7 linked regions of the Rattus norvegicus genome follow. The protein of the gene in region 3 interacts with the protein of the main gene of each other region in a biochemical or structural test. Links are inferred from orthologs where the notes say so. Each region holds a gene or a part of one and is shown on either strand. Other genes may lie near its edges. The genes, in order: Nf2, Tbc1d10a, Nherf1, Ezr, Abcc4, Pten and Abcc2.

What was found.
Region 1: the proteins of Nherf1 (region 3) and Nf2 form a complex in vitro, tested with the Homo sapiens proteins (2 studies listed by BioGRID). The link is inferred for Rattus norvegicus from reciprocal best matches to the Homo sapiens genes NHERF1 and NF2.
Region 2: the proteins of Nherf1 (region 3) and Tbc1d10a form a complex in vitro, tested with the Homo sapiens proteins (2 studies listed by BioGRID and IntAct). The link is inferred for Rattus norvegicus from reciprocal best matches to the Homo sapiens genes NHERF1 and TBC1D10A.
Region 4: the proteins of Nherf1 (region 3) and Ezr form a complex in vitro, tested with the Homo sapiens proteins (2 studies listed by BioGRID and IntAct). The link is inferred for Rattus norvegicus from reciprocal best matches to the Homo sapiens genes NHERF1 and EZR.
Region 5: the proteins of Nherf1 (region 3) and Abcc4 form a complex in vitro, tested with the Homo sapiens proteins (3 studies listed by BioGRID and IntAct, with this or other methods). The link is inferred for Rattus norvegicus from reciprocal best matches to the Homo sapiens genes NHERF1 and ABCC4.
Region 6: the proteins of Nherf1 (region 3) and Pten form a complex in vitro, tested with the Homo sapiens proteins (3 studies listed by BioGRID and IntAct). The link is inferred for Rattus norvegicus from reciprocal best matches to the Homo sapiens genes NHERF1 and PTEN.
Region 7: the proteins of Nherf1 (region 3) and Abcc2 form a complex in vitro, tested with the Homo sapiens proteins (2 studies listed by BioGRID). The link is inferred for Rattus norvegicus from reciprocal best matches to the Homo sapiens genes NHERF1 and ABCC2.

What each region holds. Positions count from the first base shown.
Region 1 is NC_086032.1:83,871,379-83,875,476, forward strand, and holds part of Nf2 (merlin), read right to left. Parts: intron 2,863-4,098; coding exon 2,645-2,862; intron 913-2,644; coding exon 807-912; intron 239-806; coding exon of another isoform or gene 185-238; exon of another isoform or gene 140-184; intron 1-139. UniProt on the Homo sapiens protein: Probable regulator of the Hippo/SWH (Sav/Wts/Hpo) signaling pathway, a signaling pathway that plays a pivotal role in tumor suppression by restricting proliferation and promoting apoptosis.
Region 2 is NC_086032.1:83,305,184-83,308,085, forward strand, and holds the end of Tbc1d10a (TBC1 domain family member 10A), read left to right. Parts: intron 1-197; coding exon 198-387; intron 388-471; coding exon 472-626; intron 627-1,172; coding exon 1,173-1,640; 3' UTR 1,641-1,995; downstream 1,996-2,902.
Region 3 is NC_086028.1:100,911,837-100,915,934, reverse strand, and holds part of Nherf1 (Na(+)/H(+) exchange regulatory cofactor NHE-RF1), read right to left. Parts: intron 1,304-4,098; coding exon 1,142-1,303; intron 387-1,141; coding exon 233-386; intron 1-232. UniProt on the Homo sapiens protein: Scaffold protein that connects plasma membrane proteins with members of the ezrin/moesin/radixin family and thereby helps to link them to the actin cytoskeleton and to regulate their surface expression. Necessary for recycling of internalized ADRB2.
Region 4 is NC_086019.1:49,375,275-49,378,892, forward strand, and holds part of Ezr (ezrin), read right to left. Parts: intron 2,012-3,618; coding exon 1,848-2,011; intron 1,669-1,847; coding exon 1,538-1,668; intron 741-1,537; coding exon 580-740; intron 231-579; coding exon 138-230; intron 1-137. UniProt on the Homo sapiens protein: Probably involved in connections of major cytoskeletal structures to the plasma membrane. In epithelial cells, required for the formation of microvilli and membrane ruffles on the apical pole. Along with PLEKHG6, required for normal macropinocytosis.
Region 5 is NC_086033.1:102,179,839-102,184,376, forward strand, and holds the start of Abcc4 (ATP-binding cassette subfamily C member 4), read right to left. Parts: upstream 3,075-4,538; 5' UTR 1,527-3,074; coding exon 1,453-1,526; intron 1-1,452. UniProt on the Homo sapiens protein: ATP-dependent transporter of the ATP-binding cassette (ABC) family that actively extrudes physiological compounds and xenobiotics from cells.
Region 6 is NC_086019.1:240,042,172-240,046,745, reverse strand, and holds the start of Pten (phosphatidylinositol 3,4,5-trisphosphate 3-phosphatase and dual-specificity protein phosphatase PTEN), read right to left. Parts: upstream 3,040-4,574; 5' UTR 2,180-3,039; coding exon 2,101-2,179; intron 1-2,100. UniProt on the Homo sapiens protein: Dual-specificity protein phosphatase, dephosphorylating tyrosine-, serine- and threonine-phosphorylated proteins.
Region 7 is NC_086019.1:252,630,527-252,634,624, reverse strand, and holds part of Abcc2 (ATP-binding cassette sub-family C member 2), read right to left. Parts: intron 3,832-4,098; coding exon 3,697-3,831; intron 3,479-3,696; coding exon 3,371-3,478; intron 2,832-3,370; coding exon 2,776-2,831; intron 1,364-2,775; coding exon 1,132-1,363; intron 13-1,131; coding exon 1-12. UniProt on the Homo sapiens protein: ATP-dependent transporter of the ATP-binding cassette (ABC) family that binds and hydrolyzes ATP to enable active transport of various substrates including many drugs, toxicants and endogenous compound across cell membranes.

The sequences.
Region 1 (4,098 bases), on a different chromosome or scaffold from region 3:
TAAATGCACCTGTGCCATTTGTGAATGTACCATGTGTACCAATGTACAGTGTGTTGTCATGTATACAACCATGCAGTATGCGTGTAACATATGTGTGAATGAGTTATGAGTCTGTGGTGTAAATATACTATATCCTTGCCTAGAATATTCCATCCTCTCTTCCCTGCTCCTCTGCAGAAGTCAGTCATGCCAAGCTTTTCTGCCTCCAAGGCTGGGCTGTCTGGGCACCTGTGCATATCTGTCAGGATAGAGATTTCCGGTTGATGATATTATATAAATAGAAGAAAAGTGAGTGAAAACTTTGCAGAGTAGAATGTACAGAAGAAAAGAAGGGAGCAAGGTCTACTTGTCTTGTGACTGCACTTAGTACATGTCATCCTACCTGTCCCAAATTGGAGGTTGACAGCTGGTTCTGGCACAACAGTAGTTCACTCTGAGGTCTGAGGTGTATACTCAGTCCCTTCACAGAACTACACTGTAACATATAGTATATACCAACAACTGAAGATTACACTTAGCTAGGCAGTAGGGAGCTAGACAGCAAATTCTCTTGAGGGTAGACTATAGCAGAGTCATAAACACTCGAAAGTTGAAAAGGGCCCTATGATCTGTTATCTAAGTACCAAGAGAGGTAATTGACTGGTCAGCCTAAGGCTAAATGGCAGACCAAGAAGGTCCTATCCATGCCCTGAACTTGCTTTGTTGCCCAGAAGGCAATGTGAGGTAAACTAAAGGGTTGGATTGGAGGTTTAGGAAAGTTGCCAGACTAAATCAGCCAAAAGCTGCCAGACTGAGCCCAGGCTCACTGGATATGTGGGCTTGGTGGCGATTTCTAAGAGCTTCTGCTTGGCTCTTCGCTCTGCTTCTCGGGCTTCCTGCAAGTCTTGCTTTAACTGATCAGCCTCCTTGGCCCTGCAAAGAAAGAAAAAAAAAAAGTCAGCTCCAAAGAAGGGGTCAGGGAGATGGCCTGGATTAACCCTGTACATGGCACTGAAAAAGGCAAACCAGGACATGGTGACAGGGACATACAGGAAGCCAGAACTTCTAAAGTAAGAACAGTATTCCTGAGAACCGATTATCCTAAAGGTAAAGCTAGACTGAAACGTGGGGTCACTGGTGGGAAACAACCAAAGTGGCAGTTCTGCAAGCCAGAAACGTGTAATAGTTTGTGTCTGTGCCAAGGAATCAGAGGTCAGCCGGGCAACACAGGCAGATGGCAATCTCAAAATAACAAAAATAACAAGTGTGGTATCCAATGCCTTTCACTCCAGCACTAGAAGGTAGAGGCAGGCAGATCTCTGAGTTTGAGGGCAGACTGAGTCCAGGCCAGCCAGGGCTATAAAGTAACACTGTCTCAAAACAACAACAACAAAACAGATGGAGAAGAGGAGGAGTGGGTAGGACCCAGAGGTCTGGCTGGGCAAAGAAGAGTATCACAAGCCCTGCTCTACAGGTTAGGAGTAGCACAGAAAGCTTGCCCAGAGGTCTAGCCCTAGAAATAGACCCATACACAGAAAGGGGCCTGGAGTGGGCAGGCATCAAGGAACCATATTCTCAGAGTGACATGCAGACAGTGGTGAGAAAAAGTGTAGTGAATGTACTTTCCTAGTTAAGAGCCAAATTCAAGGGCTCTAAATCAACAGAGCCAGATGCCGTGGGGAATATGCCAGTGTTTATCGGAAGGCTGCAGGACTAGAACAATTCAGAGCCTAGAATAGTCTAAAGAGTACAGACAACAGTTCTACCCTTCAACCTGGCTACAAGCTGCAGCAACCTGGTCAAAAAACACAGCTTCCCTGCTCTCCTAACTGCCTAAAAAACCACTGGGAAATGGGTACTTAGTTTCCCTTTGAAGTAAATAGTTGCCCCACTGATCTATATCAAAAGAGAAAAAAACCAAGGGTAGGCGGGTGGGTGTGCTTGTGTGCCTGTTATAATCCTCTACTGGTCCCCACCTTAGTGGAGGTCTCTCACTAAGCATGTGCTCATTAATTCAATTAGACACGCTGGCTAGTGAGGCTTCACTCTCAACTCTTGTGTTGAGGCTCAGGTTTATGTGGGTGCTGGGGATAAAAATCCAGGTCTTCATACTTGTGCAGCAGGCACTTTGCTGAGTAGGCCATCTCCCTGCCCTCATCCTCCCCTTAAAAAATTATTTTAATATGTATAAAGGTATCTGCCTGCATGTGTTCCATGAGCATACCTGGTGCCCATGGAGGCCGGAGAGGAGGTTACATCCCCTGGAACTGGAATTACATGGCCAGTGCTCTTAACCTCTGAGCTGTCTCTCCAGGCCTTACCTGACCATCACACACTGTTTGTTAATGTTGAAGAGCCTCTTCCTCTCTGAAGCAGCAACTTGGTCAAAGCAGTCTATGAATGGGCTTAAACATGTTCCACACAAACGTCACTATTAGAAGGACAGCTGTGTGCTGTGGAGGCACGACACAGAGATTCTCTGGAAACCTATATTCTATGCCCCACACCCCCCAGCTCCAATCCCACCAGCCTGTCAAGGAAGATGTCTTATAGTCCTGTTCCACAACAGACAAGTTTGAAGATGCTACAACCAGCTCCCGTAGGGTCAAAACCAGGTAAACAACCCTTTACCAAGTCCCAGTGCCCATGACAACCAACCATTCACCTCCTCTCTGACTCCTCAGCCATCTTCAACGCCAGCACTTCAGCCTCCAGCACCTTCTGCTCCATCAGGCGCTTCTCCTCCTCTGTCCGAATGGCTGTGGCCTTGATTCGCTGCATCTCTTGCTCAGCCTCTGCAGCCTTTTGAGCCAGAAGCTTGGCCTCCTCTTCTGTGATCTGAGCCTTTTCAGCCAACAGGTCAGCTGTTTCCTCAGACCGCATCTGAGAAGGCAAGTGTTTCAGACAGCATAGGCTCAGTGCCTAGCTGCATGTGGGGAGAGCAGTCTCAGACACTACACTTGCTTCTCTGGCCTCCTTGCACAGGCAACAAAACCTGGTTTTAAATCCCCAGCACCCATGTAAAACCTAAGTATGGTCTTTCTATTTATTTTTAGCATTCTAACTTTTATTTTTATGTATATAGGTATTTTGCCTGCATAAATGTTTGTGCACCTGTACATGCAGATGCAGTAACTTTAGAAGCCAGAAGAGGCCATCGGATCTCCTGGGGCTGGAGTTACAGAAGGTGATGAGCTGCCAGGTGGACGCTGGGAATTGAACTTGGGTCCGATGGAAGAGCAGCCAGTGCTCTTGAACTCTCTCAAGCAGCGAAGAGCCAGTCTTAACCTTCCTGCGATTCCCGCTAAGACACTCCGGGTCTGTCTGACAAGTATTCTGCAGGGCCCTGCAGGGCCCACCGAAAGGAAAAAGCATTTGTGTATAGAATGCACTGCAGCTAAAGGTATGCTTGTGAGGGAGTATTCAACTTAAAACTCGGTCCTGACCCTCTAAGTCAGTGACTCAAAAGCAGGTCTGTAATGCCCACTGCCATGAAAATGTCTGGAGACTATTTTCTTGCAGTGCTAGAGAATCAAGGTAGGCTGGGCGTGGCAGGTGTGCCTTTTATGCAATCACTGTAAACGAGGCAGGGAGGATCAGGAGTTCAAGCGTATCCTTGGCTATATAATGAGTTCAAAGTCAAGTCTGGGATATCGGAAACCTGCCTCTTCCTACTCAGCCCTGGCCCCAAACGAAGACATAAAAATAAATAAAAACAGAGAGCCATGGGCATGCTAGAGAAGAGCTCTGCCCCTGAGCCACATCCCAGCCCCAGGACATGTTTAAGGTTGGAGTGGTGCTGCTGGCAGCTAGCAGTAGAGACAGGGACTCTATATCCTTGAAGCAGAGGACCACTCCCAGATAATGGTTGGTGTTATTCCCCGAGAGTTGGTAGGGCCAAGGCCAAGGTCCCTGATTCAACGGTAACTCAGTTGCGAAAGTAGAGTTTGGCTACAAATGAACGGATCCTAAATTTTCTAAAGGGAGAAGGCATTGATGTTCTAAAGACTGAAATAAGGGGTTGGGGACTTAGCTCAGTAGTAGAGCGCTTGCCTAGGAAGCGCAAGGCCCTGGGTTCAGTCCCCAGCTCCGAAAAAAAGAACAAAAAAAAAAAAAAAA
Region 2 (2,902 bases), on a different chromosome or scaffold from region 3:
TCAGTCCCCTTTTCCCCTCCCCCATTCTGTGTCCATGGACTGGTGTCACTCTTCCTGAGGGACCGTCTGTCTGGTCTGTTCATCTGTCTTCCAGTGCTCTAGGGTTCTAGCTACCTGATGAATTACTGAATGTTCACCCAGTACTAGGAACTCATAGGGGCTATGGTCATGGCGCTGTGGCCTTGATGTCTCTTCAGGAGGCAATCCAGCTGGATGGCGAGATCCTCTTCTCACTGCTACAGAAGGTGTCCCCTGTGGCTCACAAGCACCTTAGCCGCCAGAAGATTGACCCCCTGCTGTACATGACGGAGTGGTTCATGTGTGCTTTTGCCCGCACGCTCCCCTGGAGCTCTGTGCTGCGAGTTTGGGACATGTTCTTCTGTGAAGGTACCAGACTATGCTGGATTGTGGGGAGGGGGTTGCAAGAGAAGCCCCAAAGCCTCCCTGGACTCATCACCTGCCCCCATACAGGAGTCAAGATCATCTTCCGCGTGGGGCTGGTACTGCTGAAGCATGCCCTAGGCTCCCCAGAGAAACTCCGAGCCTGCCAGGGCCAGTATGAAACCATCGAGCAGCTGCGGAGCCTCAGCCCCAAGATCATGCAGGAAGCCTTCCTGGTTCAGGAGGTGTGGACCATCATCTCCCACTTGGCTATGGGAGGGAAGGGGAGCTGGCAGTTGACTTTGGAGGAAGCCTTGCATGGCCCCGCCCCAAGGGCGGGTTGGTCAGGCCAGGGCAGGGTGGTTGGACCTCTCATCCTTTTGCTAGGTGAGGAGGGTTGGGCCCAAGAGGCACTTTGCAGTGTCTTAGCTGGTCCACTCCACTTGGGGAACAGAGAAGAGCTGCAATCTACAGCCCCTTATTTTCTTTTTGGATACTTGTTTTCAGAGGCTACAAACTAAGAGATACACATATGGCCAGCTTCTGTGGGGACCACACCCCACACCCAGGCTCATCCTAGTGCACATTGCAGGGGCAGACATACGAGGTCATCTGTGCCCATCTCCAGCTGTCCCTTCTGAGGCCCTGGCTCCATGTCTGGCACTCAGACCACAATTATATCCTCCATGGAGTCAGCCATTAGCAGACAGCTAAGGGATGCTGGTGGGCAGGACAGCAGGAGGGAAAGGTCTCACTCTTCTGGTGCTCACATGTTCCTCATTGCCCCTAAGGTGATAGAGTTGCCTGTGACGGAGCGCCAGATTGAGCGGGAGCACCTCATCCAGCTGCGGCGCTGGCAAGAGACCCGCGGTGAGCTGGAGTGTCGCTCTCCACCCAGGATGCATGGTGCCAAGGCCATCCTGGATGCAGAGCCTGGTCCCCGACCTGCCCTGCAACCTTCACCATCCATCCGCCTGCCCCCAGATGCAGCCCTCCCCAGCTCCAAGACTAAGCCACACAAGCAGGCCCAGAAGGAGCAGAAGCGGACAAAGACCAGTGGGCAACCGGACAAGTCCCCAGGCCTCAATCAAGCCACAGTGGTGACTGCTTCAGGAGATGCATGTCCTCCTCAGGATGCGCCCCCAAAGGATCCAGTCTCCCAGGACCCGGCTCCCCAGGACTCTACTCCTCAGAACTTAGCCTACCACCATTCCCAAGAGAGCCTGACCTCCCAGGAGAGTGAGGACACCTACTTGTAACCCCAGGAGCTCAAGCCTCCGGGCGGGGTCTTCTCTTGTCTTACACGGTTCAAAGACTGACAACACTCCAGGTCCTCTGCACCTGAGGAACCAACTGCTTGGCCATTGGGCTGGGATAGAATCTGGCTGGTCCAGTACAGGTTCTACCTGAGCCTCCTTATTTATTTTCTCTTGAGTTGAGCTGGTCCAGCCAGCATAGGCAGAAGCTGTGGCCAAAGGGGTTGGGTCTCAGCCCCATCCTTCTGGGGGATGTTCCCCAAGGATTGGGTGCTGACATGCGGGGAAGCGGTGGGGTACTCTTTGTGTAAAATAGAAAATATGGTTTTGTACGGAAATAAACAGGCTTGTATATAGAGCTGACGTGTAGCTGGGGACCCAAAGGGATATCATCCCTCGTCCCTCAGCAGGAGCCCCTCTGAAACGTACAGGAGACACTAAGTCCAGAACCAGCTGCTCTTCTTGGCTCTTCTCTTTCAACCCATCTTTGCTTCCATGTCCACCTCCTGACAGTCAATCCAGGCTGAAGCCCACCCCTGGGGCAGAGCAGGGAATCGTCCGTCCCCAACACCTTGGTCTGTGCTTCTTTATTGGGGGTGGGGAGTAGACCTTAAAGAGGTAGCCTAAAGCTGTTCCTCCACCAAGACCAGATCTAGATGCCGACCATAGCAGGGACTAGGGAAAAACAGCCTTGGTAGGAACTTTGAGGCGTTGCTCACTTCAGATCCCAGGTAACTTTTGAGAACTCACTCTCACAGCATCAGGGGCTGCCACCAGGGCAAGGCACTGCAGACGCCTGACACAGGCCTCCACCTGAGGCAGACAGGTAAGGGGAGAAGTTGGCCTCCTTGATACAATGCTACTTTCTATCTGCTGACACAGTCCACGTGCCAGGCTGGGCCTGTGCCTGACATAAGAGGAATTCTATGTTGTCCTCCAAGAGCCACATTTGTATCCCGAGCCCCTCACCCAAGTGAGCAGACTGCCGTAGAGGGGCAGGCAGGTGCTCAGTGACAACCTGATAACTGGCAGTGACGAGAACAGGGTGTCCCTGGGAGAGGGCCCCCCTTCTGCTGAGGAAGCAGCTTTTCTAGTCAAACAATAGTGGTTGTTCCTGGCCTCAGACCAAGCTGGGTCAGACCATAGCAGGGAGCAGGGAGGGAGAGGCAGACTCACAGGGAACTTTCAGGCATTGCCTGGGCCTAGAATGTCCTCCTGGTACAGCCGGGGATACTGAGGCCCGAGAGGCGAATGCTGACCAGAGG
Region 3 (4,098 bases):
GAACTCACTGGACTAGAGAAGGACTCAGGCCATCCATGCCTTTCAGTACAGACTGAAACCCTAACCCTCTCCTTCATGCCATTTAACTGCTGTCACCTGCCACCTTCAGACACTCTGGGCCACTGGCTGTCTGGGAAGGAGAAAGAACAATCGAAGAAACTATCCCCCATGTCTGACCAGGCCTTAGGCACTGGCCACACCCCTGGCTCGGGGCACCCAACTGTGAACTCACCATCCAGGTGCTCCTGGGACGGGGTCACTCTGCACTTCTTAAAGAACTCATCTGTTTCCTTGTCTACCACCAGCAGCTTGGCTTCATCACCTCCAGCCTTGATGGCAGACACGACGTCCCCGTGCTGTTTGCCCTCCATGCAGACGCCATTGACCTGAGAGGCAGGGCAGAGATGGGTTGCTGGGGAGGGTAGGTGGAGGGGGTCCCACCTAAGAACACTGCCTTCCCTCACGTGCCTCCCAGTGGTTCTCTTGCCGGTCAGCTGGGAAGCAGGACATATGGGAAGAGCCAAAGAAAATACCCAGAGGAGACTACACAAACACAGCTGTGATCGAGGAGAGGCCTGGGAGCCTGGGCTGGGCTCTCTTCTGACCGACCTCCCGCTCAGGGCCTTGGTTTTCTCACGTGTAAAGTGAGAAGTCTTGGAAAGGCTGATCTGTGGCTCTAAGGTTCTCAGACTGTGATTCTGGGAGCAGCCCAAGCCTTTAGTTCACATTTCTTCTCCTGAGTGCAGTCGAAGGACAGGGTGTCTCACAGCTAAGCTCAGGAGGGTGGGGGTGGGTGGGGTTAACCCCTCCTCATGCCAGGCATCAAGAAGGCCGTGAGGGCAGCCAGTGGTATCTGTCTAGATTTTAGCAGGTAAATCAAGCGTATACGTGGTAAACCGGAACCGGAGATGGGAAAAGAAGCCAGCCAGCCAGCCAGTCTGTGTGCCCACCAAGTTGCTAGCTATACCTCCAGCCTTCCCTTACCCCCTTTCCTCCTGTCTACCCTCAGAGCAGCCTGCCATCCAGCATCTCTGCGCTGGCCATTTCCCATGGGTTAACCAAACCACACATGGTGGAAGTCTGCCCCAGAGCACCAAAGCTTAGGAGGGAAAAGCCTGGAGATCACGGTAAAGGGTTTCACCTCCACAATCCGGTCCTGGGCCCGGAGGCCAGACGCCTCTGCTGGTGAGTCCGGGTCCACTGCTCGGATGAACTGGCCTGGCTTGGATTTGTCACTGTGCAGGTTGAAGCCATAACCATTGGGGCCTTTCTTCATGGTGCAGAGCCGGGGTCGGAGCTCACACTGCGAGGGACAAGAAGCATCCGTGTCATTCCTTACTGTCCCGACCCTGTGTTCTCTGCCCACCCAGCCCAATGCTACCTCCCCACCTAGAAGGCTCATGAACGATCCAATGGTGATTGGAGACTCTAGAGCAATACGAGAGAATCTGGCCCAGGGTTCAGAAGATGTGAATGGACACAGCGCTGAAGCAGACTGAGTGGCTCTAAACAAGCCACTGTCCCTGCGGCGGCTAGCTCCCCTCTTTGTCATTCTATTACATGTTTTGCTCCTCCTTGGGTAGAATCCTGCCCCACCTAGGGCTCATCTGGCCCTCTTAGCCTGGCCGGATACCTGAGGCTCAGGAGTGGGCACCTGGCCCATGTATCTGTTCTCTGTTGTGAAGGCAAGGATAGCTGTTTACTGAGAGCTGGACAGCTTGTGTACAGTAAAGCCTTTCTTCTCCAGTGGGCTCCCTTCTTGACCTGGGTGAGCCAGGCGGCCCAGCCAAATGTGAGACAGAAAGACTGAAACCTGGTAGGTGTCAGGGTGAAGGATCCCGGGGTGGAAGGGACCATCCTCAGGTCACCCAGGACATATCGAGCCCAGGACATAGGGAGCAACAGGAATGGGGGTTGGGAGAGGTGGGACAGGTGGGGCGCTGCTCATTAATCCCCAGGGACTCATATGGGGAGGAGGCCCTGAGGAGCAGGGCAGGGCCAATGTCATCTACGTGGCCTGGAAAGCAGGACCTGTTACTTTTCATCTAAAATTACTCAGTGCGGGAAAGAGAGTATGCATACACCAGCGTCCACGACATATGGGGGTCGGAGGACAACTTGTGAGCGTTGGTGCTCTTTCACCATGGGGGGTGAGGGGAGGTCAGGTTGTGAGATTTGGTAGCTCGTGCCTTGACCCACTGAGCCATCTCACCAGCCTCCCAAAGGATGCAAACGGCTGTCCTTTGTGCACTCAGCTGGGAAAAACTTTCACCGTTTTCCATTCTCTTCAGGCAGGCTCGGCTCTGAAGCCACTACCTTGATGACGCTCGCACAGTACGCTGGCTGACAGATGGATTCTTGATGCTCACACTGATTGACAGATGGGACAGAATATGGGCACAAGGCTGCAGGAGTTGGAAGCAAAGCACTACTCTGACCCTAACTCCAAGCCTGGGCAGCCTGCTGGACAATGGCTGGCTGGCTAACCCTGGGTGGTCACCTACCCTAAGGTCCCTGACTACCTTGTGACTTGGGGCGAATCATTTCCATTTCTGGGCCTCAGGGTTTTCCTTTATAGAAGATGCTTATTGCCTTTACCCTGCCTACCCCGTTGGTTGCCTTTGGGGCACAATGACATAATGGCACTGTATAAAGCAACCCTCTGGAGCTCTTGGACCTGGATGTCACCATTGTTCTTACTAAGTCCCTCTGCATACCAACACTTTACCACTGTTCCTGCTCCTAAGGAACAGTCCAGGAACTCTGAGATGCTGGGTGGAGGAGGGTAGTGTGCCAGGTTGCTCTGAAACCCAAATCCTTAGCTGGGGCTACAAAAGGCAAGGGAGAGCAGGAAAGAGTGAAGGGAGCCCTCCCCCAGCCCCTCCGCGCTCCATGTGTCAGCATTCCGATGCCAACCCTTCACTCTTGATGGGTGGGGGCCTGCTCATCCAGTTAAGGCGTTTGCTACCAAGCAGAAGGAGAGAAGTGACTCCCACAGGTTAACCTCTAACCATGGCACTCTGACAGACAGACAGACAGACAGACACACACACACACAATAAATTTTAAAGGTGGAAAAAAGAACACTTGGGCAGGCACTGTATATTTGTTTCGGGGTGTTTGGTAGGGTACAGAAGACAGAGAAGTTGATACTTGGGATTTTTTTCCCCAGTGGCTACTTAAAAAATTAACTCTCACCTCAAACAGCAAAGACAACCAAATGGGCAGCAAAGAGAAGGTAGCCACGGAAGGCCCCTCCTCACCCTGCTGGGACCTAGCCCCTCCCTTCCAGCAGCCCCACCTCCCAACCGCCAGCACCTCAGGAGTTCCGAGTGAGGATTCGCTTCCTTCCAGCTAATCCCCTGTACAAAGCTGCCATCACCCTCGGGCCCTCCCCCAGGCTGCCTAGGTGAGCCGGAACAGGTCTGACCAGTTGTTGCCACCACAACAGGCTCAACTTTCTGCCTCAGCCACACACCTCCCGTGGCCCTCGGTTTGTGGAATCTCAGTTTGCCTCAGGTTCCTCCCCACCCTCCCCAGGGTTCTCTTACCCCAGACTTCCCACAGCAGCCTGGTTGGAAGCTGCTTCGCTGTGTTTGAGACTGTGTTTGAGAAGGGAAAAACCCACTCAGCCTCACTGGAGATCCGCCTGCCTTAACTCCCACCACCACATCATCATCTGTTCTTAAGCACTGGGTCCAGAACCAGGCAGCCCGTTTGGAGCGAAGCCAGTCACAGGCAGACAGCGGAGGCTCTCCTCACACTGACCAGGTGTCTGGGAGCTCACGCAACCACAGGCTTCCTCCCAGTAGCCTCCACACCTCTTTCAGTCAAAACCTCAGCCTGAGTGGATGGATAAAGTCTGGCCTGGGTGACGAGGCTGTGAGCATGCCCGGGCTGGCACCGTGGCTAGAACCAGGCTGAGGGTTCAGGGGAGGTGGCAGGGCTGGGCTAGGTTCCCTGGTTATGACCACCTTCTGGTTTCAAGTGTGTGCTCTGGGTTTTTCCCAGTGCACCTTAGTACAAAGCGTCACCTCAGTATCCATTTTTTTCTAGTGACGCCTACCATTAGAATTCAAAGGTCTACTTTGCATCCTT
Region 4 (3,618 bases), on a different chromosome or scaffold from region 3:
TCATTAACAGAGAAGGCATCCTCAGAGGATTGTAAGAGGTTCCAGAAACTTGTGATGTGGCCTGCAGCTGAGCCCCCAGAGGTGCACCCTCCTAAGAAATACCCCAGGGCCATGCCTGGTTTCTGGGGTTCACTCACCCGGTGCTGCCACTCCTCCACCTCGTCCTCCTTGCGCCTCCGTGCCTCCTCCAGCAGGGCAATCTTGGCAGTATACTCTGCCAGCTCTGCAGCCTACAAGGGAGGGTAAAAGGGTATGCTGAATCGTTCTGGCAGAGTCCATTGGTGAAGCAACATTTGCCCACAAGAATGTACGGCCTTCCTGGTGATGAGCTGTGCCCCCTCCCTCCTCCTGCTCAGGAGACCATGTAGGCACCTCCCTGTGTCTCTGGGATCTTGAGCATCCACATCCACCCCCACCTCCCTGACTGAGGATTCAGACAGGTCCAGCCCTCCCCCCAACCCCCCTGTACAGATCTGTTTACAGCACTAGCTGAGCGCTTTGAAAGGCAGATGTCACTTGTTTGATTCCCCAAGAGCAGCCTCTCTATAATTCAGCATCTTGAAACCAGGCAATCCCTACCAGCTGCTCCTGGCTCTTTATCTGATCCTGTGCCTGTCTCTCCAGTTCTTCCTTGGCCCGCAGGGCGGCCATGCGGTCGGCCTCCAGACGTTCAGCCTCCTCCTGGGCTCGCCTCCTCTCTTCCTCCAGCTGGAGGGCCTTCTCAATCTGCTCGGAGAGCTCTGCAGAGAACATGGAGTCAGGGATGCTCAGACTCCCGGGCAGGAAATGAGCCTTAGCATCCCAGTCCCACCTCAAGTGGGCTGAAGGAGACTGAGTGAAAGCCCATCTCCCGATCACAAAGTCCTGGACTGAGTCACTGGGCTGTGAGCAGGGACAGCTCGGGGCTCATTCCTGCCGCTGCTAAGATAATTTCCTCAGTTGTGCTGAGAGACCACTGAGGAGCAGCTGGTCAGATATCATGGTTCCTGGGGCCAGGTCTGACCTCTCTGACCCTGCTGCACCCCAGTAATGGCAGCCTGAGGCAGAATAGCCTTAACGACTCATCACCTGGACTCTGACTTGGGACATAGAAATGGCCTGCTTGAATAGCATCTCTTCTCTATTCTAAAATGTCCTCAGAGGGCAGGGCTGCAGGGCAGGGCCTGGGATGTATGGTAGAGACGTCACGAGCTGGTTGTGACAGCCGGTATGTGCTGAGGGGATGTGGCATCTAACTAAAGTTCAACATTCTTAGCAGAGTGTGAGAGTGAGTGTGTGTGTGTGTGTGTGTGTGTGTGTGTGTGTGTGAGATCAATGGCAGGCACAGACAGTAATAAAGCACAGGATTGCTTTCTACTCTCAATGATGGCACTGCCATTGCTCTGTTCTGTCTGGGGGTGGGGATGGGGTTGTATTAAACAGAGACAGCACTCTTGAACAAGTTCCCTCTTGGCTGTGAGCCAACCCTGCCTGACTCTCTGGGGGAACCAACTTCGGAGTGACTGTGGGGGAAGGGCGGGCAGCATGAGCTCCTGACCTTTCTCTGCCCTCTTGGTCTTCTGCTCAAAGTCCTGCAGCCGAAGCATCAGCTCTTCCTTCTCCCGGAGCATCTGTTCCTTTTCTCTCTCTACAGTTTCTCTCCTCTTCTTCTCGGTTTCCAACTGTTGTCTGGTATAGGGAAGAGGAAGAGACAAGGAAGGAAGGGTGAGGTTCACACAGACCCAGACCTGCAGACGTAGCTGCTGGTTTGCCACTACAAGCAAAGAGATGCCATAGCTTGTGTCTGGATGGTTTGTGATAAACCAGGCGAGAACAGTTCACGGGGACGGTCCTGCCTGGTCACTCACCGCTCCAGCTGCTTCTGGTGCTTCTCCTCCCGAGCCTGGGCCTTCATCTGCTGCACCTCGATGGTGTCGGGCTTCCTGCGGCGCATGTACAGCTCGTGGTTCCCCATGCAGAGCTGCAGAATCCGCTTGTTAATTCTCAGGCGGGGAGCGTAGAACACGAAGTCCTACAAAACACAACAGGGCGGCCTTGGCCTCAGTTCCTTCAATGGCCTTCTTTCCTAAGACCACACTTCACAAGAGTTTCTTGGCTTCTCTAAAAGGCCAAAGGCCATAGAGGAGGGGGGCCAATCCCTGTATATTGAATATATGCTCAGTGGGCCAAGTGGGAGGGGTCCTGGGAATGTGCATCCACTTGTATATTTGGGTGTGTACATGCTAGATCTCGGCCTACAGAGCGAGGCTTGCACTGAGGAAGCTGGTTATCACTGGCCTCCCAGTGTACCATGTTTTTTGGTATCTGCTTCTCCAGCTCCCCAGCCTGTCACCATTCATCCTTGCCCGTCCCTTTGTGTACGCCTCACCTTAACTTCTGAGCTCCGCATCTCCTGCCAAGCCCTTCAGCTCTCGGGCTCGTACAGACTGCCCTGATACCCACTGCTCTGGATTCCTGAACCAGGGATGTACCACAGCCTTCCGGTGTCAGGCCTACCAACCATGTTGACTACCCCTGAGCTCGCCGTCACACCTTCGAGCATCCTACACTCTGTCACTCAGCCTCATGGCCACAGAACAAGGGCAACAGTATAATGGGAAGGCCATAAGACTAAGTCGGAAAAAATAGTCACAAGGAACTTGGAACAGTGTGTTAGTAGTACCTGGGACGGTAAACCCTGGCTGCTATGTGCAGAGGCTGCTTGGGCCGGCTGCCTTAATGTGCTCACAATGGAGGCGGTTTCTTTCTCAGAGAGGAGGGCAGAGCATAGTATTTGGAAACTCTGTCACCAGTATACACACACGGGTTGAGGGCCATGGCCACAGACAACCTTGCCTCCTAAGTTCTTGCTCCTTCCAGGATTAGCTTAGTTTACAGTGGGGAGGCTTGGTCTATTTAGAAATGCCTCCTGGTTCCCTCCAAATGTACCACACCAAATGGTGGCCCTTTAGTTCCCCTGACTACAGGAGGCTGCCTGGAACCCTCAACTTCCTGGGTGGGGCTCCCCTCTGGTTTCACAGACTGATTATTAAGTCACTGGGCTTCTCAGGGAGGAGTCCACAGGGCTAAGAGAAACAGGAATTTTTTATTACCCACCTATCTCTTATCGCACAGGAGAAAACAACCTTGGCCCATGGCCTCAAAGGCACAGGGCCCAAAAATGTCCCACTGTGACTCACAGGTACGTGCAAAGAAATGCACCAACTCCCCTTTAGGAAAAAACCATCACAACAATCCCAGAGTTAGAACTACAGGTTAACATGAGGCTCCCCCAACCCCTGCCTACAAGAAACAGACTCAGAAACTACTAGAAAACACTCCAGAGTTAGCAGCGGCAGCTGGATGGGTGAGGAGAAGGAATTTCTCCTGTGCCTTTGACAGAAGTCAGTTGTGACTCCAAGTTAGAGTTGTGAGTTCAAGTCCTTGGGGAACATTTTAATGCCATAAAGAGAGACCAGGGGAGGCTTTTTTCAGAGGATGGACAGCCTAGGCCCTAAAAGCAAACATCAGGTGGAAGAGTAAGGGAAACTGAACAGAGACACCCCAAATCCTGCCAGGCACAGTCCCAGACAGCTCCCATGAGGCCAAAGTCCAATCCCAGAACCATTTGGGGTCTGT
Region 5 (4,538 bases), on a different chromosome or scaffold from region 3:
CTAGCTGGTCTCAGCTCCACGGGCTCCTCAAGCATCATCCTGTCTTAGCCTTCCAAGAAACTGAACTGTAGGTATGCTCTGCCCACACCCAGTTCTCTTCACCTACATTTTGAAAGTCCACTCACGGGAAAGTCATCAGGAGTTCTGTGTGTTGCCAAAAGCCCAGGAGACTGAGACAGTCCGCCTGCTTTGAGTATTATTATATTATTATTATTATTATTATTATTATTATTAATTTCCCACACATCCCTTATTATGCTCCTCTTTACCGAGTGTCCAAAAGGATCCTGCACACACTGTATCGGCAATTGGAACAACAGTAAATGACTCCGAAACTCCCTAGGCTTTCTCATTTTAAAAGGGGAACATTAGAACGTGAGAAAGACAACATGGCAGAGGTCAAGAAATAAAAACTATTCTAGTTAGCCAAGCGTGCCCTAGCCAGCCCAGGTTACTAGGTGGAAAACTACTTAGGAATGTCGTTTATCTAAGCCTCTTCACCTGTTTCCTACAACGAGAGGGGCGGGGCTGGGGCCAGATCAGATCTGGGAACCCACTCAGTGGTTTTAGGCATCGAGAACATGGATCCTGTCTCTGAGGACTACGGATCTTGATAAGACCCCCACCACCACCACAGGCTTCAGAAACTCATCCCCAAGAGTGATATGGTCATCAAAGGCAGAAGGGAAAAAAAGTCCATCTAACAAGGAAAAGCATATTCCTCTACCCTCCTTCAGTCAAGAGGGAAACGTCATGCAGATCTTGCTCAAGGGTAGTGTCCCATCATAACTAAATAAGACATCGTAATAAAGTGATCTTTTAACCCACAGCCATAGTAAGATACTAGGACACACACAGAGGGGTCAAAAAGAGAGGCAGGGTCCGGGAAGCTATTAAACTTCCTTCCTTACACACACACACACACACACACTCACTCACACGCAATCGATGAACCTGAAAGATGTCTGGTAAGGTGTTTCGGAAGGCGATGGGGACACTAGCGTTTGGTGTTGGTCCAGGACTCTAGCTTCAGCTGCGATTAGACAAAGCCAGCTGTTAACAGCTGCTTAAAGAAAAATAAAGAGGTGCAGTTTGGGCAAGGGAGTTGTGCAAGCCCTGAACCGAGATGGAAAACTAGCGAAGGTGAGCATGCCGGGTTCACCCTTCCCGGGCACCCTCGCACCTCCCACGGATCCCCACGCTTTCGGGTGGACGCCACCTGTGTCTGCCATCGGTCCCCGCGTGCCCCTCCCGGCGGGGAGCAGCGCGAGCGTGGGGTGCGGGCGGGGACCGCAGGCGGCGCGGCGCACGCGCGGCAAGGAGCCCGGGATGTGTGGCGGTGTAGGGAAAGCATCCTCTGACCGTCCGGGACCAGCGCGGACCACGGACACGCGGCTGAGCCGGCGCGGGGCGTCTCGTGGACGGCGGAACGGGCCCAGGCAGGGCACTCACCAGAAGAACAAGCGCGAGCAGAGGTTGGCGTCCTGCAGCGGGTTGGGTTTCACCTCGGTGTGCACCGGCAGCATCTCGCCCGCGGTGCGTGCGGCCGGGAGGCGGCTCCAGGAGGCGCGGGTGAGGATGTTGGAGCTCCGGCCGCCGCGCCGGTCCGCTCGGCGGGAGCCTCGGAGGCAGGCAGCGGCTTCCGGGAACCCAGCGCCAGCCCGCCCAGACCCCGCCTCCCGGGGTTCCTCGGGGCGCCCGCTACGCGCTGTCGCCGCCGCCTCCTAGAGCCCGGGAGCGGCTTGTCGCGTGAGAGCGCAGGAGAAAGGAGGCTGGGGAAAGGCGGAGACCGCGCGCAGGTGCCGGGCGGCTGCTCGGGGAACACGGAGCCGGGCGGGGAAGCTGCACGTGCTTGGGACCCGTTGCAAACTTTGCAGGAGTTTAAGATCAGCGCCTAAGCACCACCCTGAAGGTGGCGGGGGCGGTGCGTGCTGTGCCCGCCCCCGCGCTCGGAAACGCCCCCTGGGCTCTGCGCTCCTGGAGATCTGGAGAAAGCCGCCTAGCTTTGCCTGCCCTCCCCTGGCATGCTGCCCTCATCAGGACCAAATGGGGTGCTGTAGGAGATTCCCCCACTTGCAGGCCAAGAGTCTGACCTGGAACAACAGCAAGGTTTATCTGTTTGCCTTTCCCGACCTGAAAGCCGTGAAGACAGTCAGGCCACCTGATATTAGGACGCTAGGGTTTGGGGAGATGAACGAATGCTGCCATTTCGGGCGGCTTCTTGACCTTTCTTTCCTACATTGCTTGGCATGGCGGACCTGTGTAAGCAGTTGGCTGTCCTCTTAGATTGGGTAAGGGAAATCAGATAATACACCGCCTGGCCTGTTTCTTTCACCGAGCCCTGAGAGGCTCGCAGAGGATCAGTGGCGAGAGGAACCGATATTACAGGACCCCTCCGTGTGCCGTTCTGTAGACCTACTCCACTTTTAATTTACTTTTCGAGATGGTTTTGCTATTTTACTGAGTAAATTCAGACTCAAGAGATCCAGCTCGTCCGAGAGCATAAGGTTAGTGATGATGAAATCTGATTTGTACTCAAGTTGGCATGTGACCTTGAACTGCTTTAGGGATGGTCAAGTGAGCATGAGAGGTGCCAGGCTGCACTGAGGAAGATACGGTCCTGGCTTTTGGACTCCTGCTCACAAGCCTTGGTTTCTGTGTTAACTGCCTGCCTCTCTGCCCGTTCGGTTCACTTCAGCACTGGGTAAGGAAAGAAGAGCCCTTTAGAATTCACGGTGGTAGGGACAGTTTTACCCGTCCTTTTGATGTGAGAAAATACTCTGACCAGAAGTAGCTCGGGGAAGAAAGGGTTTCTGTCAGGCTTACACTTCCACTGCAACAGTCTCTCCTGGAGAGAAGTCAGGCCAGGAGCTGAAGCCACAACCCTGTTCTGTTGAACTGGTAGTGCTGACTCCAGATGTCCTCACACCATCTCCAATGGGACACTCTCTCACAAAGGCCATAGGTCAAGCCCATCTGGGAAGCTCTTTAGTTAAAGTTCCCGATTTTCTGGTGACTCTAGGTTGTGTCTGGTTGCCAAAAAAAAAAAAACAAAAATAAAATTAACTAAGTCAGCTTTCTTTGGTCATTCCTCCTGTGTTTATTTAAAGGTATAACAATACTCTGTACAGAGTCTTGGTGCAAATAAGCATTTGTTTAGAAGTCAAGTCATGTGTGGTGCCCACAGATTTAATTCCATCAATTTGGAAGTGGAGACAGGAGAAACAACAACTCTAGCCCATCTTTGATGGCTAGGGATTTCCTAGCCAGACAGACATACATGAGAGGTCAGAGAGCAAAAATAAATACAGCTAAAAGGAATTAGCCAGGCAGCAGCACGCTAGGCAGGAAGGTATGAAGTTCAAGATCGATGGGACACCTAGGGAGTTCTAGGTCTAACTGGATATGTAAAGAAGCTGTTTTTAGAGAGAAGAATTGAGACAGGGTCTCATGTATCCCAGGTTAGCCTCTTAACTCCGTAAATAACCAAGGATGACCTGGATCCCCTGATCTCCCAACATCTACCTCCCAGGTGCTGGGATCACAGCCATGTACCGACATGTTATAAATGAGTTTTGGAGCCCAGAGAATATCCCAGTAGGTAAACTGCTTGCCTTATAAGCACAGTGGCCCAAATTCCTCCCACTATCAAAAAAACAGGCATGGTGGCCCACATTCCCAGCTTGGGATGGAAGGCAAGGATCCCTGAGGACGCTGGTCCTCCAGCTTACCCTAATTCACAACTTCCAGTGCAGTTAGAGACCCTGCTCCAAACAAAACATAGAGAGTAGATAGCACATGCACACGCGCGCGCGCACGCAAACACACACACACACACACACACACACACACACACCCGAATTATATGTATTTACATAAAAAGCATATAAAAATATATAATAGATGTAAAGTCTGAGCTCCTCAGGAGGCTGAGGCAGCGGAAGAATATCTTGAGTTAAGGACTTCAGGACCAACCCAAACGACTTATCTGTTTCTGAAAATTAGTTAATTGTTTAATTAATTGGTTAAAACTCAGGTACACAGAGTAGCAAGGTGTTGATGGTTTTGAGCTGAATGACGTTTATTGCATGGCATTCCGTGGCATGTGTTTCAAACATCCTGTTGCAGAAAGGGAAGCATTTCCACAGGAACGCAGAGCTCCCATCCATGCACCCTCGCCCTCCATGGTTTCTCATACGTCAAAATCAACAGGCCTTACCTAGTTCCTGGTGCTCTTTAAAATGCCCTGCATTTTCTAGCCCAGGCGTTTAATCATCTGCCGGTTCTACTTCAAAGCCTGAAATTCAGTTTGGGAAGTTAGCAGTCTAGTGACTTGCCTTGTGTCTGCCCCATCCCCTGCGATAGGGGACTGTGTTGGGACTGCAGATCCCATTAGCAGGCTCCAAACCGTCAAACCTTCCCTTCAGCTTCTACTGAGCAGTGTGCTGGCTTTTAGTTTTGTTGATCTGAGCTACTTCGAAACGTCTTAGCATTCTTTTCTGAACACTAACCAACGTGGCATTTAGAAGGAATACTGA
Region 6 (4,574 bases), on a different chromosome or scaffold from region 3:
GAAATCAAATAAGGAACTGCAATCACGTCACTCTCATACTAAAAAAAAATTTACAAAATAATCTTGAAGTCCTATGGGAAGGGCAAAGCAAAGCAGAAGTGTACTTTGGAAGCTTCGAGAAGTCTATCAGGCATTCTAGATCTTTCTTTGAATGTGGGTTTTTTTTTTAATTAAATAGGTACCTGACTATTCCTTCTAGATGAAGATTACTATCATTAATTTGTACCAACAGTAAACTGCCTTGAAGCAAGTGACAACTTGGAATTTTCTCCAATTATCTTTTAGAAGGGTCAAGTTCACCCTGAGTGAAGCTTTCTCAATTAATGCAAACTCAAAAATTAAAGATTCCTCTCAAACTGTATTTTTAGCTTGAAAGAAAATTAGCCTCTGTGAAGCCAGCTCTTCAGTGAGCTTCATCTTCATTTCAGAACAAAAACTCCATCAAAATTAGCTATGCTTTTTACACCATTAACGCAATCCATCAAACCTCTTCCAAGTGAAAATTTTTCTTCAATAAATAAAGTGTCCCATAATGCTATTAGCCGGACATGTATAGACAAGTTGCTGCTGTCCTTCTATCTTATGAAAATATCTACTAATAGTAACTAAGAAATACCTTTTGCAAAGAATATCTTATTACTGATTACGCAATTACATAATTTTAACTAAATACTTACTGTTCACTTCAATGCTTGTCACATAACAAAATTTTGGGTTGTAACAAAAGGCCCAATCATTTAAAGGCTGTTTCTTCAGACCTGCAACTTGTGTTTTCACACACCTGACACACTGGCCTCCCAAAACCTCTCAATTTCTGTCAATACTTCCCACTCTGCAAAAGAGGAGGCCTCTCTTTCCTACCCCTGCCATACCTGAAACTGCAACGGTAAATGCTTTAAACCACGAACTTTTGAAGTACAAAGACCTAACTTTTAGACGATCACGACTCTACGCCGTTAAAATTCTTGGGTTTCTCTTATTCAACAAGCTGACTCAGTAAATTACTGTATGCAGAGAGCTAGCATACCTACAGTCTGGAGATGGTGATCCATTCTTGCCAGTATGTCTGGCTATTAGCTGGCTAAATTATATTTGATGTTCTACACAAAACAGGGTAAAACACACAGATAAGTCAACGGGTCAGAGCACCTGAAACCAAAAAAAAAAAAAAAAAAAAAGCAGCAAATTCATGCTACTCCTTAAATCTCACGTGAGAGCTGAGTTTAACCTCTGCAGTCATTTGCCATACAGACACAGCATCCCTAAACTCCCACAGACACCATCATCTGGGATCAAAAACTACTCCATCTCCATTCTATCATGTATGGCAAGGCCAAGTGAATGAACATACTACTGAAATGCAAATTTCATATCCTATCCCACGCCCCATCAGGAAAGTCTAATTTAAAAAAGTTCTATTAAAAGCTCCAATAATACTATTGATTTCAAACTACAAAACTTCTAAATGCAGCTCCAAAGTTGTAATTACCTCAGTTTAAACACACAAACCTACTTCTACCCTCAAATGTGCACGGTCTAGGCTGAAGATGACCATGCTTATAAAGTTATGCAAATCAGTCCACAAGTCACATTTTAGAAAAATCTTCCAATGCAACCCAGGAAACTAAAAAAAAAAAAAAAATCACTGCAAGATTCTGAGGCAATATGCCTACGTGCTGCACGGACTTTCATTTTAATCTGATCTATACCCTAGATCTAGGGCCTAAGTCACGATCTAATCGAAATATGCACGACACCACAGCGTCTATTTTTTTTAGTTCATTTAGAAGGCTCGATTGACGAGCCGACTAATCCAGTGTACAGTACTCTGCATTAACGGACAATAGATTTTAAGAACAAACCACAGAGCTCGACAAGAAACCAATCCGTGCCTTGACACTTGCAAGCAGGCATGAGTTCCGTCTAGCCGAACACTCCCTAGGTTGAATACACTGGAAGAGACAGAAAATACACGATCTAGAAACGCGACCAGTATTAAACGTTATAGTCACCCCAACTACAGAAAATTTTCGCATCCGTCTACTCCCACGTTATCAGAGTGACAGAAAAGCAAAGAGGAACAGCCGCAGAAATGGATACAGGTCAAGTCTAAGTCGAATCCATCCTCTTGATATCTCCTTTTGTTTCTGCTAACGATCTCTTTGATGATGGCTGTCATGTCTGGGAGCCTGTGGCTGAAGAAAAAGGAGGAGAGAGATGGCAGAAGCTGCTGGTGGCGAGGCTTCTTCTGCAGGATGGAAATGGCTCTGGACTTGGCGGTCGCTGATGCCCCTCGCTCTGCTGCCGCTTGGCCCTGGACCGCAGCCGGGTAATGGCTGCTGCGGCGGCTGCTGGATGGTTGCAGCGACTGGGCCTGCTTCTCCTCAGCAGCCAGAGGCCTGGCAGCCGAAGCAGCGGAATGGGGAGAAGACGGATAATCCTCGCAGCGGCTGCCTCCTCCGGCGGCCTCCGGAGCCCGGGCCAGGGGGGGTGCGGCGGCGGCGGACGGGAGGCTTAACACCGGCCCGGGTCCCTGGACGTGCCGCCGCCGCCGCCGCCGTGTTGGAGGCAGGAGAAGGGGAGAGAGCAACTCTCCGGCGTTCCCAGCCCTGGCAATGGTGACAGGCGACTCCGACCCCCTCCCCGGAGCCGCGGCCGCCGCCGCCGCTTCTCCCCCCCGCTCCAGGAGCGGGAGGTGCAGCCGCCGAGCCTGCGCCGGCTCCCGCCCGAGCCCACGGCTTCCACCGTCTCTTTCCGAAGCTGCTCAGAGGCTGCCCGGTTAGAACAGACGACGAGGAGGCGAGGCCCGCCGCCGCTGCCGCCGCCGCCGCCCGGCCGGCTCCCCGAGGGCGCTGCCCCCGCGGCTGCTCACAGGCGCTGAGAGGGGCTCTGGGCCGCGGCCGCCGCCGTCTCTCATCTCCCTCGCCTGCGCCGGGCCTGGCCTCACAGCGGCTCAACTCTCAAACTTCCATCATGGCTGCAGCTTCCGAGAGGAGAGAGCTGAGCGCAGCCGCGTCCCGACGCCCAAGCGCATATCCTGCCGCAGTGCACAAAGAGTCCCGCCACATCACCGTGCGCCGGCCAGCCCGCCCCCTCCGCCACCCAGCCGGGAGAGCCGGGCGCCTCCGAAGCCGGAGGGAGGCGAGAGGCGGGCGCCGAGCCGGGGGAGGGGCGGGGCGGGGAGGGGCGGGGCGTCGGTGGGACAGGGGCGGGGAGCGCCGCGGAGCATGCCCAGTGTGGCCGCGGCTCGCTCCTGGAGCTACGCCGGCTTCGGCCTCAGCGCAGAGACCCGGCAAAGGGTAGGGCAGGTTGTGGCCGAGCGAGGGTGCGCGGAGCAGGATCGCTGACCGCTCACAGGTGGATCGGACTAGCTGACCGCGTTGGTCAGCACCCTAGGAACCTCAGGGCCAGGTTCACCCTTCCTGCGTAGGTCCCTGTGTTTCTTTCGAGCGGCTTGCACGCCCTGCCCTGCGCTGTGGTCAGATTGCAGTGCTTCCTAGGATTTGTCGGCGGCAAGTCTTTACCTAGACAGCGCACCTCACCCCCACGGTGTCCTCAAGGTGTCAGTCTTTGCACAAAGAACAACCCCCTATTGTGTCTCCCGCGTGGGTCACCTCATCGGGCTCCGGTTCCCTGCCCCGCCTCTTGCTTCCCAGGCAGCTGGGTTCATTTGCCCGAAAGATGAACGCTCCCAGCCAAGCATGATGATTGTGCATACGGGGCGTGTACATTGACATCTGCCCCTGAGTTTCCAGGGCCCAAAGGACACCCCTGGGTAGACAAAGTGGATCTCCGTGAATAGAGTGCACCTCACACACACCCCTCCACCTCCCGGCGAAGAGCCCCGCAGCTCCCCGCAGCGGTAGGTCCACCGGATCACAGTCAGGCTCCATCTTCTAGGAGATAAGCCGCCCCTCCCCCTTCGTGGCCGCTAAGAAAACCCGGCAGAATTGGATCGCGGTGGCCAAGTTCTGACCCTGTCGGACGGTGCACGTTCGAGGACCCGGTTACTGAGCCCGGGTGTGGAGTATGGGACGGTCGGAAGCTGCAGCCAGCGAGTGGGCGGGGCGAGCAGGCCTGGGAGGGCTCAAAGGCTAGGTGGAAGGATACATGAGCCGCAGTCGGAACTACTTTCAGGAGGAGGTCACGTGTGGTCCTAGTTGGGGAACTTTCCAAATTCCCATTCCCCTATCTGTGTGCTCCTGAGGCAGGAGCTTGGTCCCCTCTTCTCTATTAGATGATCTTCCGGGACCCCATGCCCCGTGTAGGCAGCTGAACCCCTCTCTTCGGAGTCAGAGCGGAGAATAGCACCCACGAGCGGTCCGCAGGAGCGCTGTCGGGGCCAAGCGCCTGGGGAGCTGGTTACACAAGCAGCCACATCCAAGCACGTGCCCCCGCCACCCCTCTCTGCTGGCCGCCGCCGGTTTGTGAACGCTGACGCTGAGAGTCCCCAAGCTGTTCCTCCCTTTCGCTTGTAACCCATAGAGCTAGCCAGAAGGCCGGGACACGAGACTTCTGCTCTGGATCTGCCCACACCGCGCGTTCCCAACCGTGGGAGAAAAGGCAGGGCCCTA
Region 7 (4,098 bases), on a different chromosome or scaffold from region 3:
TTTCGCTTCTTCCTAAGTACAAGACCGAAAAAAAAAAAAAAAAACAAAAAAACAACCGTGTTCACAGAGTTGTGCAGTACAAGGATGGTAAGACTGTGTGCTTGGAATGGCTCCAGGCTTCTTCAGCAGGGCCTGTGAGCCGGCTACCCTCTCTGTATAGTCGTAATCTTCTTCTCATCTCCTGCCCACACTCCCTGCTTCTCTCCCCTGCTTCTAACTCATAATCTCTTTCAGATTGGAGAAGCAGATGCGTAAACTAGAGAGAATGCATCACAAAGACTCATGGACAGACTTCCGGTACTCCGGAGGCTAAGGTGGATTGTGACTTCGAGGCCAGCCTGAGCTACACGGTGAGTTCAAGGCCAGCCTTGACTACATTTTTAAAAAAAGACTTTCAAAAACCCAAGGTCTGAAGTTGTAGCTCGGCATGTAACATGGCCCCAGACCTTAACACAACTGACTCCATGATGGCAGTACCACAATATTCAGCACAGAGACAGTACCAGCCACCAAAAAGAAACAAAGACCCAACCCATCAAGACCACCCTTCGGTCTCTTCTCTTTTACATCAATCTGCCTAACTGGCAAAGACCTTCTGCGTATTGCCCTGCCTCCATTTCTCATTTCCTATAGGAACGCTAGAATTACAGATACTTGTACTATGGTGTCTAGCTTTTATCTAGGTATTCAAACTCAGGTCGCTAGAGTCCTCGTGTGATAAATGCTTTTAGTCACTGAGCCATCCTCCTAGCTCTTCTAATGCTGCTGCTATCATCATCATCATCATCATCATCATCACCACCACCACCACCACCACCACCACCACCACCACCACCACCATCATCATCATCATCATCATCATCACCATCATCACCATCATCATCACCATCACTAGTATTTTATACTACAAAAAACTTCAAATATATTCAATAGGAGAAACAACAGTATATTATACACGGATGCATCGACCACTCAGGCCTTATTAGAACTGTGCATCCCACTAATGTAAACTGCAGTGCAAATATATAGAATGGTATGAAAATGTGAGGAAAGAAAAAAAAATTCAGAAACGACTCTGCTTCTTGCCGGAGACATACAGTGCATTCACACGGACACTTGAGTTAAAGTTACCAGGACGAGAACGTCTTGGCTCTGACTCTGCTTCTTGTTCAGTCCGTGTAGTGTGGCCTCAGGTTTCCGCTGGGACTTCTGCAGCCGCCTCTGAAAAGCCTGCCTGGCTTTCTGCAGGTCCTTTGTCATGGCCGCCTCAAACTTGCTGGTGACTGACCTTGTTTTAAACCCTTCATCGATATCCCAGACATCTTCTAGTGTCAGTGGATGCTTGTAACCTTTCAGAACAGTCCTGGAATGAGAACAGTCCACAGGCTGAGTCTCTCTGGGCTACGTCAGTCTGCTTCTGTCAGAACCTATCCTCCAGATCTGAGGCAGAGGATGAAGCATTGGACTTCTCTACTGTTCCACTGTCTACATCTCCTGGTCCTTTATTTGACAGAAGCGTGGGGGGAGAGCACAGAGACAAGAGAATATGCTAGAAGACAGGATGGAGAAGAGACGGAGAGAGGCTCTATTGAATCAAAAGTCCTCCTATGGCTCCTTCTCCATCAGGTACCGGCCACCTCTCTACACTCTGACAGGTCCTCGAGGGAGCTCCATGATGCCCTTAGGAAATGGAGTGACCTCACCACTGTCTTCACAGTCTATGTCTAGATCGGGCCTATCCAATTCAGGGCTGGAGAATGTGGATGGAAAACTAGCTTCACCTTTATTTGTAACAATCCATAACTGAGATCCAGCCTTTTCTCCTAATATGAGCATAACATGGTGTCTTTGTTACCAGGAGAAACCGTAGATGTTTCCATAGCTAACTCACAGTAATTGCTGCTTTCAAATTATGATTCTTATCAGATAGATAGTTAGGATATCCTTGTTGTTAGATATTTAAATTTAATGAGTTGATTTTTAAAGTATGTGCATTACTATATCTCAAATTTGCTTTCTTTAGCTTTGAATTATGTATGTATGTGCATGTGTGCCTGTGTGCCTGTGCATGTATGCCTGTGTGCCTGTGCGTGTGTGTGTGTGTGTGTGTGTGTGTGTGTGTGTGTGTGTGTGAGAGAGAGAGAGAGAGAGAGAGAGAGAGAGAGAATGTATATGCACACATGTGCCAGTGCCTGTGTAGAGTGGAGGCCTGAGATCCCACGGGAGCTGCAGTTACAGGAAGTGAACCACTTGATGTGTGTGCTGGGAACTTATCTCAGATCCTCTGAAAGTAAAGCAAGAATCCTAGCTGTCGAGCCATCTCCCCAGCCCCACGGACTCGCTCTTTAGATATTCTGACCATGTTTATACCCTGTGTCTAATATTTCTAAAACACTTATGGGCCTCATCAGCCTGTCAGAAGGTTCACAAACTACAAAGATATCCGTTGTACCCTCTGATAGGCCAGGCTGCTGTGTCTCCCTTCCCCTCTCCCTGGTCCACACTGCCTGCCTCCATGAACCCCTTTCTTGTCTCCTTCTGTTTCTCCTATGGAACGCTCAGAAACGATTACCTTCTAGTTTCTCCTCCTCATTCTAATGGGTCCAACAAAAGGGCTGGCTTGAACTGACCTACACGTTTTAACACTCTTAGACTCTAAATCGAAGAGAAGTGGAGGCCATGGGAGGCATTTTGTTTTAAAATTGAGCGTTATTTTCACTTTCAAAGAAGTGAGCATATCAGGATACAGGAACCCATACTCCGGGCACTGCTTACCTGTCATACCAACTAAATGTAATGCTACTCAGAAAGGAAGCCGTGACTGATGGAGTCTGAAAAATAAAATCATCAAGAAGTAAGTCGGTTGGAAATAAGAACTCTGTGGGGGTCTAAAATTAGACACTGACTTTCTAGACCTGGCTTTAGAAACTCAGCTATTATCCATGTGCTGGCTGGTCAGTGTGCTTACCCCGAGGCACTAACACCAGACGTTCTGGCATAGATATGAGAGTTAACCGTCTGTGCTGCACACTTACAGGTGACTATGGAAGTCAGTATTCCTACATGGTCAGCACTCTGTTGGTTTATACATAAAACATTCGAGACTACAGGTGGAGTATCTCTTCTCTGCAATTTGGGACGGAAAATGTTTCTGGTTTTGAAGTTTTTTCCAATTTGCATTTTTAATATTGTACAGTCTTTGTTTTGAAAATTTTCAAATCTGGGGGAAATTTGGATGTTAGAGTTTTGGGTCAGTGATATCCAATCTACCCTTATCATGAGACCTCCATGAAACCCAGACATCTCCAAGGTTCTGCTTGGGCATCCATCAATGAAATAATATAGGGAATTAGTGTATGTAGAGTCTCACTTGTGTTGAGTCACTTGGTCCTGAAAAGGCTGTAAGAATCAGGAGGACAATCTGGAAACCGTAGGAGACGAAGAACAGGTAGGAGTAGGCCATGTTGGACTTGCTGTCCTGTGGGTGCAAGATAGGCAAACAATCAAACAAAGAAACAAAAAACCAGAGTCTTTTATCACAATCGGGCTTACGGCTGAAAGCCCTCACTAAGCCCTTTGGCATGACTCTATCCCCAAACTAAGACTGCTTGAGGCTGTGCTGTCTGACCTCTATTGGCTACCAGAGGCTCTGGAACAAGCATCTTTGTAGGGAAGGAATCTCCCTTTCCCCCTTACCTTCAGGAGTGCTCGTATCAGAGTCTGAAACTGGAATACGCCGCATAAGACCGAGAGGATCCAGAACAGAGACAGGAACCAAGAGTTCTTTCGTACACACCATTGCCTGCTGTGCTGGACTGCCAAAACCAGGAGCTAGAGGAAAACGTAAAACTCAGAAGAGCAGTGCCGCCACCAAGGGCAGAGAAAGATGGCCGCCAGGGAACATCGGGGAAATGGGAGCTGAAGGAGGGGACTGTGGAAGCTAACTTGGCCAGGCAGAGAAGACATGAATGTCCAATTTACGTTTCTTCCCTGATGCTATTAAACCCTCCCTTCTGGTGATTCATCTCTACACTTGGGTGCAGAGTTAGCAAGAAAGCAGAGAGTTGCTGTTGACTTTAAGTGGGGTTACTTTGAGAG